Arabidopsis thaliana: one gene and its partner. The protein of the gene in region 1 interacts with the protein of each later gene in a pairwise test. Each region holds a gene or a part of one and is shown on either strand. Other genes may lie near its edges.

The links.
Region 2: the proteins of MGT3 (region 1) and HHP2 interact in a protein complementation assay, tested with the Arabidopsis thaliana proteins (one large-scale study listed by BioGRID).

Annotation. Positions count from the first base shown.
Region 1 is NC_003071.7:1,101,427-1,105,181, forward strand, and holds the start of MGT3 (magnesium transporter 3), read right to left. Parts: upstream 1,779-3,755; 5' UTR 1,541-1,778; intron 1,386-1,540; exon of another isoform or gene 1,288-1,385; intron 1,224-1,287; exon of another isoform or gene 867-1,223; 5' UTR 743-866; coding exon 301-742; intron 214-300; coding exon 143-213; intron 47-142; coding exon 1-46. Other genes in the region: AT2G03630 (suppressor SRP40-like protein), read left to right, coding at 1,779-2,533, 2,627-2,804; AT2G03640 (Nuclear transport factor 2 (NTF2) family protein with RNA binding (RRM-RBD-RNP motifs) domain-containing protein), read right to left, coding at 3,099-3,458, 3,543-3,608, 3,709-3,755. UniProt on the Arabidopsis thaliana protein: Magnesium transporter that may mediate the influx of magnesium.
Region 2 is NC_003075.7:15,020,272-15,024,026, reverse strand, and holds the start of HHP2 (heptahelical transmembrane protein2), read left to right. Parts: upstream 1-1,581; 5' UTR 1,582-1,748; coding exon 1,749-1,975; intron 1,976-2,049; coding exon 2,050-2,148; intron 2,149-2,245; coding exon 2,246-2,324; intron 2,325-2,815; coding exon 2,816-3,487; 3' UTR 3,488-3,588; exon of another isoform or gene 3,589-3,669; 3' UTR 3,670-3,707; coding exon of another isoform or gene 3,708-3,755. Other genes in the region: AT4G30845 (DNA-directed RNA polymerase subunit beta), read right to left, coding at 3,708-3,755.

The sequences.
Region 1 (3,755 bases):
CTAGTTCATCAAGAACGGGATACACCTCCATCTCAAGCTCATTCACCTAAAAATCACGTTCACCAAAACTTTTGAGCTTAACAATTAGCTTAAAGTCATGCAATAAATCATATAGAAGAATGATGAAGAGAATGTGGCATACCTGTGCATCTAAAGACAAGCAAGATAGTTCCAAAACCAGCTCCAACGCTTTAAATTCAAATGGCAAATCATCTAAAACCAAACACATATAACAGTTTCATCAGCAATCTAATCTATATCATAACTCCAGACCACCAAAGCTATACCAAAACCACTGACCTTTAACATTTAGGTTGTGGTTTGATTGAAGGCGTTTACACAGTTCCGACTGGTACTGAACAACAGATGCATCTCGAGCATTCATGAGAATGACCTCTTCAGCTGTGATAATACACCTGATCTTCTCAAGACTGACAACTATCGCTCTCTCACGCCCCAAAATACTCGAGGGATAGATAAACAAAGGGTCAAGGAGTCTCAAATCCCTGGATGGTAAGGAACAACGCTTCATTATAGTCGCCTTGTCGAGCTCCAAAACCGCAGAGTTCCCATCTTGATCAATTTTCACCCAAGAACGACTAGATTGACCTCTCTTCTTAAGACCAGAAAAAGGATGCCCACGGTTAGTTTGTCCTTCGAAATTAACCGGTCTACCAATTTTTTGAGAAGATATGAAATCCGGAAGATTAGAAGCGGAAAATGGATCTAGTTGTTCTCCCATGTTTGCTCAATCCTCTCTTCCTTACAATTTACTAATGCATCAGAATCAAACTCTCACCATTCAAATGAACAGTTTCCAGTGAAACAGAAGGAGTCCAAGTAAACCTTTGGCCACAGTTTACAACCTGAAAACAACAAAATTTGACATGAAACTCAAATTCAATTTCTTCATATGATCTCTCTTGAAGAACCAACGAACCTGAGAAATTCACAGAACAAAAGACAATACTTTTCTAAATGGTGGAAGCTGCATCAAATTATCAAGAATAACTTCGTGTTTAAGTTCTTAAGACACTAAAACGAAGAAAAGTCACAAAATTTGCAGTTAAAGAAGATCCAATTCTCAGATTCAGTATCTTAATTCTAAGAATTCGATCCGTTAAAACTATCCAATACAAATCACACCGATCAATTAGGTCTACAGTATCCATATCCAATTCCAAATACATACCCGAAAAAAGCAAAGAATCCTAAAAAGGAAGAAACTTTCAAAGACCATGTTACAGTAAAGGGAAATACAAACCCTAGATTCCATAAAAACGTTACCTTTCGTTTACAAGCTTTCACTTTCCCCAAACAGTAAACAGAAGAGGAAGAAGATGAACAATGATGCTTTTTTTTTTGTTCTAGTATCTGAAGCCACGTGTTAAAAGTCAAGGCGTTTATCTATTGGATAGAACACGGTTTCTTAAATAGACCGTAACACAGAGGATCATTTATAAAACAGAACAGATAAGAAGACATGGCGCGAAATGCAGCCATGGTTTTGTTAGTTAAAGTTCCGAACTTTACGAGATACCTTTCGTTCTGTTTATCTCCAGACAACGAACCAAACCCTAGATCCCCTTTTCCTCATCTTAATTTTTTTCTTTCTTCCTTCATTCTCTCTAGCAAGAAAAAGAAACGAAATTTCACAACTTCACTCATCAGGCTCTGGTCAAATCGATTTCAAGGTATGTTTTTTGATGTTATATTTGTTCGAATAGCCCGAGAAATTGCTTAAAATGATGCATTGATGATTGCTTCTCCAGGTGTTTATGGAGTCTAAACATGAAGAACATGTGTTATCCAAACAAAAACATGATCAAGATGTAAACAAAAAAGGTTCATTAGACGACGAAAATGGAGATGTTGAGCATAAAACGATACCTTTACAAGAAACAGAAACTGTAATTATTAACTCAGAATCACATTCAAGATTATCGTCGTCTTCGTCATCTTCGTCTTCTTCTTCTTCGTATTTATCGCCACCGAAAGATCTACCTGAAGAGGTACTAAAAGAATCATTGAATGATCCGGAGATTTCTTCACCACCTGTTCAAGTAATGGATAGAGATAACAACGGAAAATATGACCCGAATAGGATTCCATCTTCGGTTTTCGAGAGAAGCAAATCGAATGTGCCAGCTGAATGGAGCTGCACTTCGAATGAATCTCTCTTCAGTATTCATTTAGGAAACAATAGTTTCACTGGTTATGGTGGTGATTTGATGAAATCAGGTGAACTTTATAAATCCGGTGAGTTACTTGCGTATAGTCCTGGACTTCCTATGCCGCCTGTACCAGGATCGGAACCAAAACCCGTAGTCGAAGAACCGAAAGTTGTTGAATCAGATAAGGAAGAGAAAGTTGTACTAGTAGAAGAAACACATACATCATCATCAGATGAAGAAGAAGGGAAAAGAGAAAGCCATGAGAAAGAACAACATCCTGCTGTTTCTTGGAAAACTCCTACAACTTCTTACCGTTCTAACCGAAGCTCAAACAGCGCGCACTCCTTCTCTTTCCCAATGTAAATACACTCCATCCATGACCATGGCTGACAAACATTTCCTCCCCTCGGTTTTAATGAAAGTTTCTTGCTTTGCTTTTTTGGTTTTTACAGTTTGGCTGGAGCTGCAAGTGATTCAAGAAAGGTAGAAACGGAGAAACAGAAGGAACAAGCAAATCAGTCACAAGAGTCACAAAAACCAGTAGCAGATGCAACAAATCAGAAGCAGTCAATGTGTAGGTGCTTCTCATGTTTTCCTCAATGTCCGTGGTGTTGTTCTTCTTGTTCTTGATTCTGTTTTGATGTTTGATTAGACAAAAACAAAAGTTGTGGAGTTTATCTCCTGTAAAGAAAGTATGTAGGTCATTAGAACCTTAAATCAATTCGATTTTGTTCTCTGCTTTGTTCATGAGAAGATACAGAGATCAAAGAGTGAAGAAAAATGTTCTAGATTTATCCCCAAACAATATCACAAATCGAAAAGATCAACACCTAAGATATCCACGGAAACAAAAATTTGTTTTAACATCGCCTACAACCTCAGATTCTCAACCATGAGCAAAGCTTAGAAGAAGAAAAAACTAATCTAGTTTTTGGCCTCAGTATTGCCATGGCCATTGTTCTGGTATGCTTTACCATCCCCATTAGACTCACTGTTCCGTCTCCCATAGCCTCGTCCTCCATTGACGCCACTGCCCCTAGGTTTGTATCCATCACGTCTGAAACCATCCTCATTTTTATAACCACTGTTGTTTCTTGTAGAGACTCTGTTGCCATTTTGATTGTTACCTCCTGCATAATCCAGAAAAAGTAAGATTAGGATTTTGTTTTTACATTTAATTAAAGTTACAATCTTTGAGACAACAATGCCTTTCAGAAACTTGCCTCGCTTTTCTTCTATAGATGCTCTTCGGTTTCCGATTCTGATTGGTGATTCCCTGTGAGCCTAGAGTTGTGCATTTGGAGATCAGATAACAAGAACTTCAAATTACATTATAGCCGAGAGTTTGATATGCAAACAAAAACATACCTGAAAGACATTTTTTACTGCTTCACCATTTTCGAATGCCACAAACCCAATACAGTTCTTTTTTTCCTGAAAATTCACAGATTTTTAAGCGTGTGATTGAACCAGTTATAAGGTTTTTCAAACTTTGCAAATAATTTTTTTGTAGATCATTGAAAGAATAACTAACCGGGTAACTTCTGACTTGGATACCATCCTTTCTAATAGCTCCAAAAC
Region 2 (3,755 bases), on another chromosome or scaffold:
AAATGATCTATGATTTCATCTAGTGAAAGATAAATGGATTAATCAGTTTGTATAACATCTTAATTTCGTTTTTTTTTTTCATTTCGTTAGTGTCTATTGTCTAAATTTCGATAATTCAGTTTTCATTTGATTACTATACTCAAACAAAATACCTAGCGTAAATTGCTTTGTTAGACCATATTTAGCAACAAAATCTAATAAAGTATTGATCTTTGAGTCTAGGTTTCCACAGTTCACCACGCAATACTCACCTTTCTTTATACACTTTACAAAGATAATGAGTAATCGTTAAATAATCCAAAGAATTTACTCATCCATGTACACATAGTTTATACTTAATCCTCTTAGCAAGAAATTATGGCGTCTAAGAATCGATTTAGATGAAAAACGGACCAACTAAGCAAACTAGAATATATGTTCACTTCACGACAACTTTGTATATAATTATACACAAAACAATATACATTCATTTTGTATGATATACAACAAATCTTTTGAAAATACTACACTCTTTTCTTTAATGTATTTTTAGGCTAATGTTGAAATATTCTTGTATTTATATTATGAAATTTGAATTAGACCGGATCAAACCGGATCCACGTTATCTTGATTTTAAAATGAAGAACTCCAAATAAATCTAGATTACAAACTGATTATCATTTGCTAAAAAGATCCTAAAGGTTATCATTTGAGATTCAGCAGGCGAACAACAAAAATTATTACTATATTCGTACGGTTCCATTCGATTTTTGTTCACTCATTTGTTGTTACTACACTTTACTACTCAAAATTTGTTACCCTCGTTTAGTCCGATTCGATGGTTCCTCATCGTTCATTGCGGTGAATTACTATGAAAGTACAAATTAAAAATAATCTGAAACATTGATGATAACAATGTAGCAATGTAGTCGTAACATGCCAACATCGAATTCTGGGCCAACTATATTTTGCTTTGGTAAGCGAACCATTCATTCAGTTTTTAATTATTATATCCAATTGTTTGACGCGTTTTAAATAAATCAATAACATAATCCATGTTCATACCAATTAAATATAGATATGTATGTACGTGTTGTCTTGTCTTATGAATCAACCCTCCTTGGAGAATCTTATGCCATAAAGCCAATAAAAAGTTACCTACTCTTTCAATTTACCTCGTTCGTTTAATCTGTTTTGATCAACACTCCCCATATTATCAAATCATTTAGGAAACGTATAAATGAAACGAAAATATATGTTTTAGTTACTCAACAATGTTATTAAGGGTCAGGCAACAAAAAAATCTTGAGGGGTAAAAACAAAGTTCTCGATTTAATAATTATAGACTATAGGTTTAAACAGAGACCCACAAATTCTGCATTTCTCACCTTCCAACTGTAACTTTAATATTTGTTTCAAATTGACACGGCGGGTAAAAATAATCAGGTGTATCCTCCCTCACACTAAGGCGAAACTAACATACTAATAAGGAAGAGACACGTGTAAAAAAGACCGGTCAAAGACGCTACGTAGATAAAAGTCACGAAGCTTGCTCGTTTTTAAAATTCAAAGAGGTTTCATCTCCGTATAAGTAGGCGACGAAGCATACCACGAAGATCGAAAAAAAACAAATCAGATTCTCAAATACTGAAAATAAAAAGAAGAAGAGAGAAATCTACGGTGGTGGGTGATTCGCCGGAGTTCAATTTCGTAGCTAGATTTCTCCTCCTTTTCCCCCCGACGAGCTGTGCGAGAGAGGGAGGGGAATCATGCAGAAACGGAGAACGGTGAAGGAATCTACGAAGATAAGAAATGGTAAAGGTATGGATTCCGGCGAAAAGAAGAGATCTGAGAAGAGATTGATGAAGTTCGAGGAGTTACCTAGGTATTTGAAAGATAACGAGTTCATACACAATCATTATCGATGTGAGTGGTCAATCAAAGAAACTTTCCTCAGCGCTTTCTCATGGCACAATGAGACTCTCAACATCTGGACGTATGTTTTCGTTTTCTTCTGATTTTTTTTTCCCTTGGTTGAAAATTTGTAAACGGGGTTTTGAAATTTGGCAGGCATTTGTGTGGATTTGCGATATTTACTTGGATGATGGTTGTGAGTTCAATGGAGACGACGGAGCTTGGCCTCGCCGGCTTTGTTAGCCTTCTCTCCGGGTAAGAAAAATCTCGAGGTCAAAATCGTCATTTTTTGTTTTGAGGAAAATTAAACAAATTTCAATCTTTTTGGGGGATTTGTGGGTCCTAATGACAGAGCAACAATTCGCTGGCCATGGCCGTCAATGGCAATGTCAAAAGATGTTTACTTCTCCAGCGATCAAACTCTGCATCACGTAAAGATTCTTCCTTTTTTATTCTGTGACATTGTTTATTCTAATTTAAGTAGTAGACATGCAACATAAGTGCTTTCAAATAACAAATCCCATTTTTGTTGTGTGCTGATTGCAATTAGCAGTAGTGCTAAATGGTAACTTTCACCCACCATGTCATGTTCTCTTTGGATTTTTTCTATCTTTCTGTTTTTAACTTTGGTTTTTATGGATACTTCAGTTTCTCTAGACTTGCTCTTTATGCTCACCTACTTTGAAATCACGTGATTTCCTACCGAAATTAAGGAACAAACTTTATGATTGGATTTGTTTAGTTTAGCATAAATCTTGTAACCTGCCCCAACTATTTGATGTTTCTCTCACTTTAGTTTTCTGTAGATTTTCTTTGTGCTCACCTAACTTTCCAACTAACATGATTTTTTCAACGGGTTTAAGAAAAGAAAGGCTGTTTTTTTGTCAACATAAACTTATGATTTGGTGGTGTCTACTGGCAGGACTTAAACGTGACACACACTCGCTCGCTCCTGAATTCTCAAGGAGATGTTAACTACGAAGCCATTCCGAAATGGCCATGGCTTGTGTTCTTGACCGGAGCAATGGGCTGCTTGATCTGCAGTTCCATGTCACACCTCTTCGCCTGTCACTCCAGACGGTTCAACCTCTTCTTCTGGCGTCTAGACTACGCTGGAATCTCCCTCATGATCGTCTGTTCATTCTTCGCACCTATCTACTATGCATTCTCATGCCACACTTACTGGCGACTCTTCTACCTCTCATCGATCTCAATCCTCGGTCTCCTCGCCATCTTCACTCTCCTCTCTCCATCACTCTCAGCTCCACGTTTCAGATCTTTCAGAGCAGCTCTGTTCCTAACAATGGGATTTTCTGGCGTAATACCAGCCACACATGTGCTTTACCTTCATAAGGATCACCCAAACGTGCTTATAGCTCTCGTATATGAACTTGCGATGGCTGTGTTGTATGCAACAGGAGCAGCGTTTTATGTTACCCGCATACCTGAAAGATGGAAGCCTGGGGCTTTTGATATTGCAGGACATAGCCATCAGATATTCCATGTGTTTGTAGTCTTAGGAGCTCTTGCTCATAGTGTTGCCAGTCTTCTTATCATGGATTTTCGACGGGCTTCTCCTTCTTGTGCCTTTTAACTCGAAAACACATTGTAAAACATTTAGTAATACTTCATTCAATGTATCAATGTATGTTTGTCCCCATAGAAGACGCAATGTACCATCCAAGATATTCAAAAGTAAACAAAAACTCAATTTCCTACAAGTATTGTTCAAGCTTCATGATACAAAGATCTAATCTAATTGATTCTTTCTGAAAGATAAAGCAGAGCTATATATAGAAGGAATCAAGGAACCTCTAATCAGTTGAATCATTGGAAAATGAAAGGGCGAGGAAGATACAGAG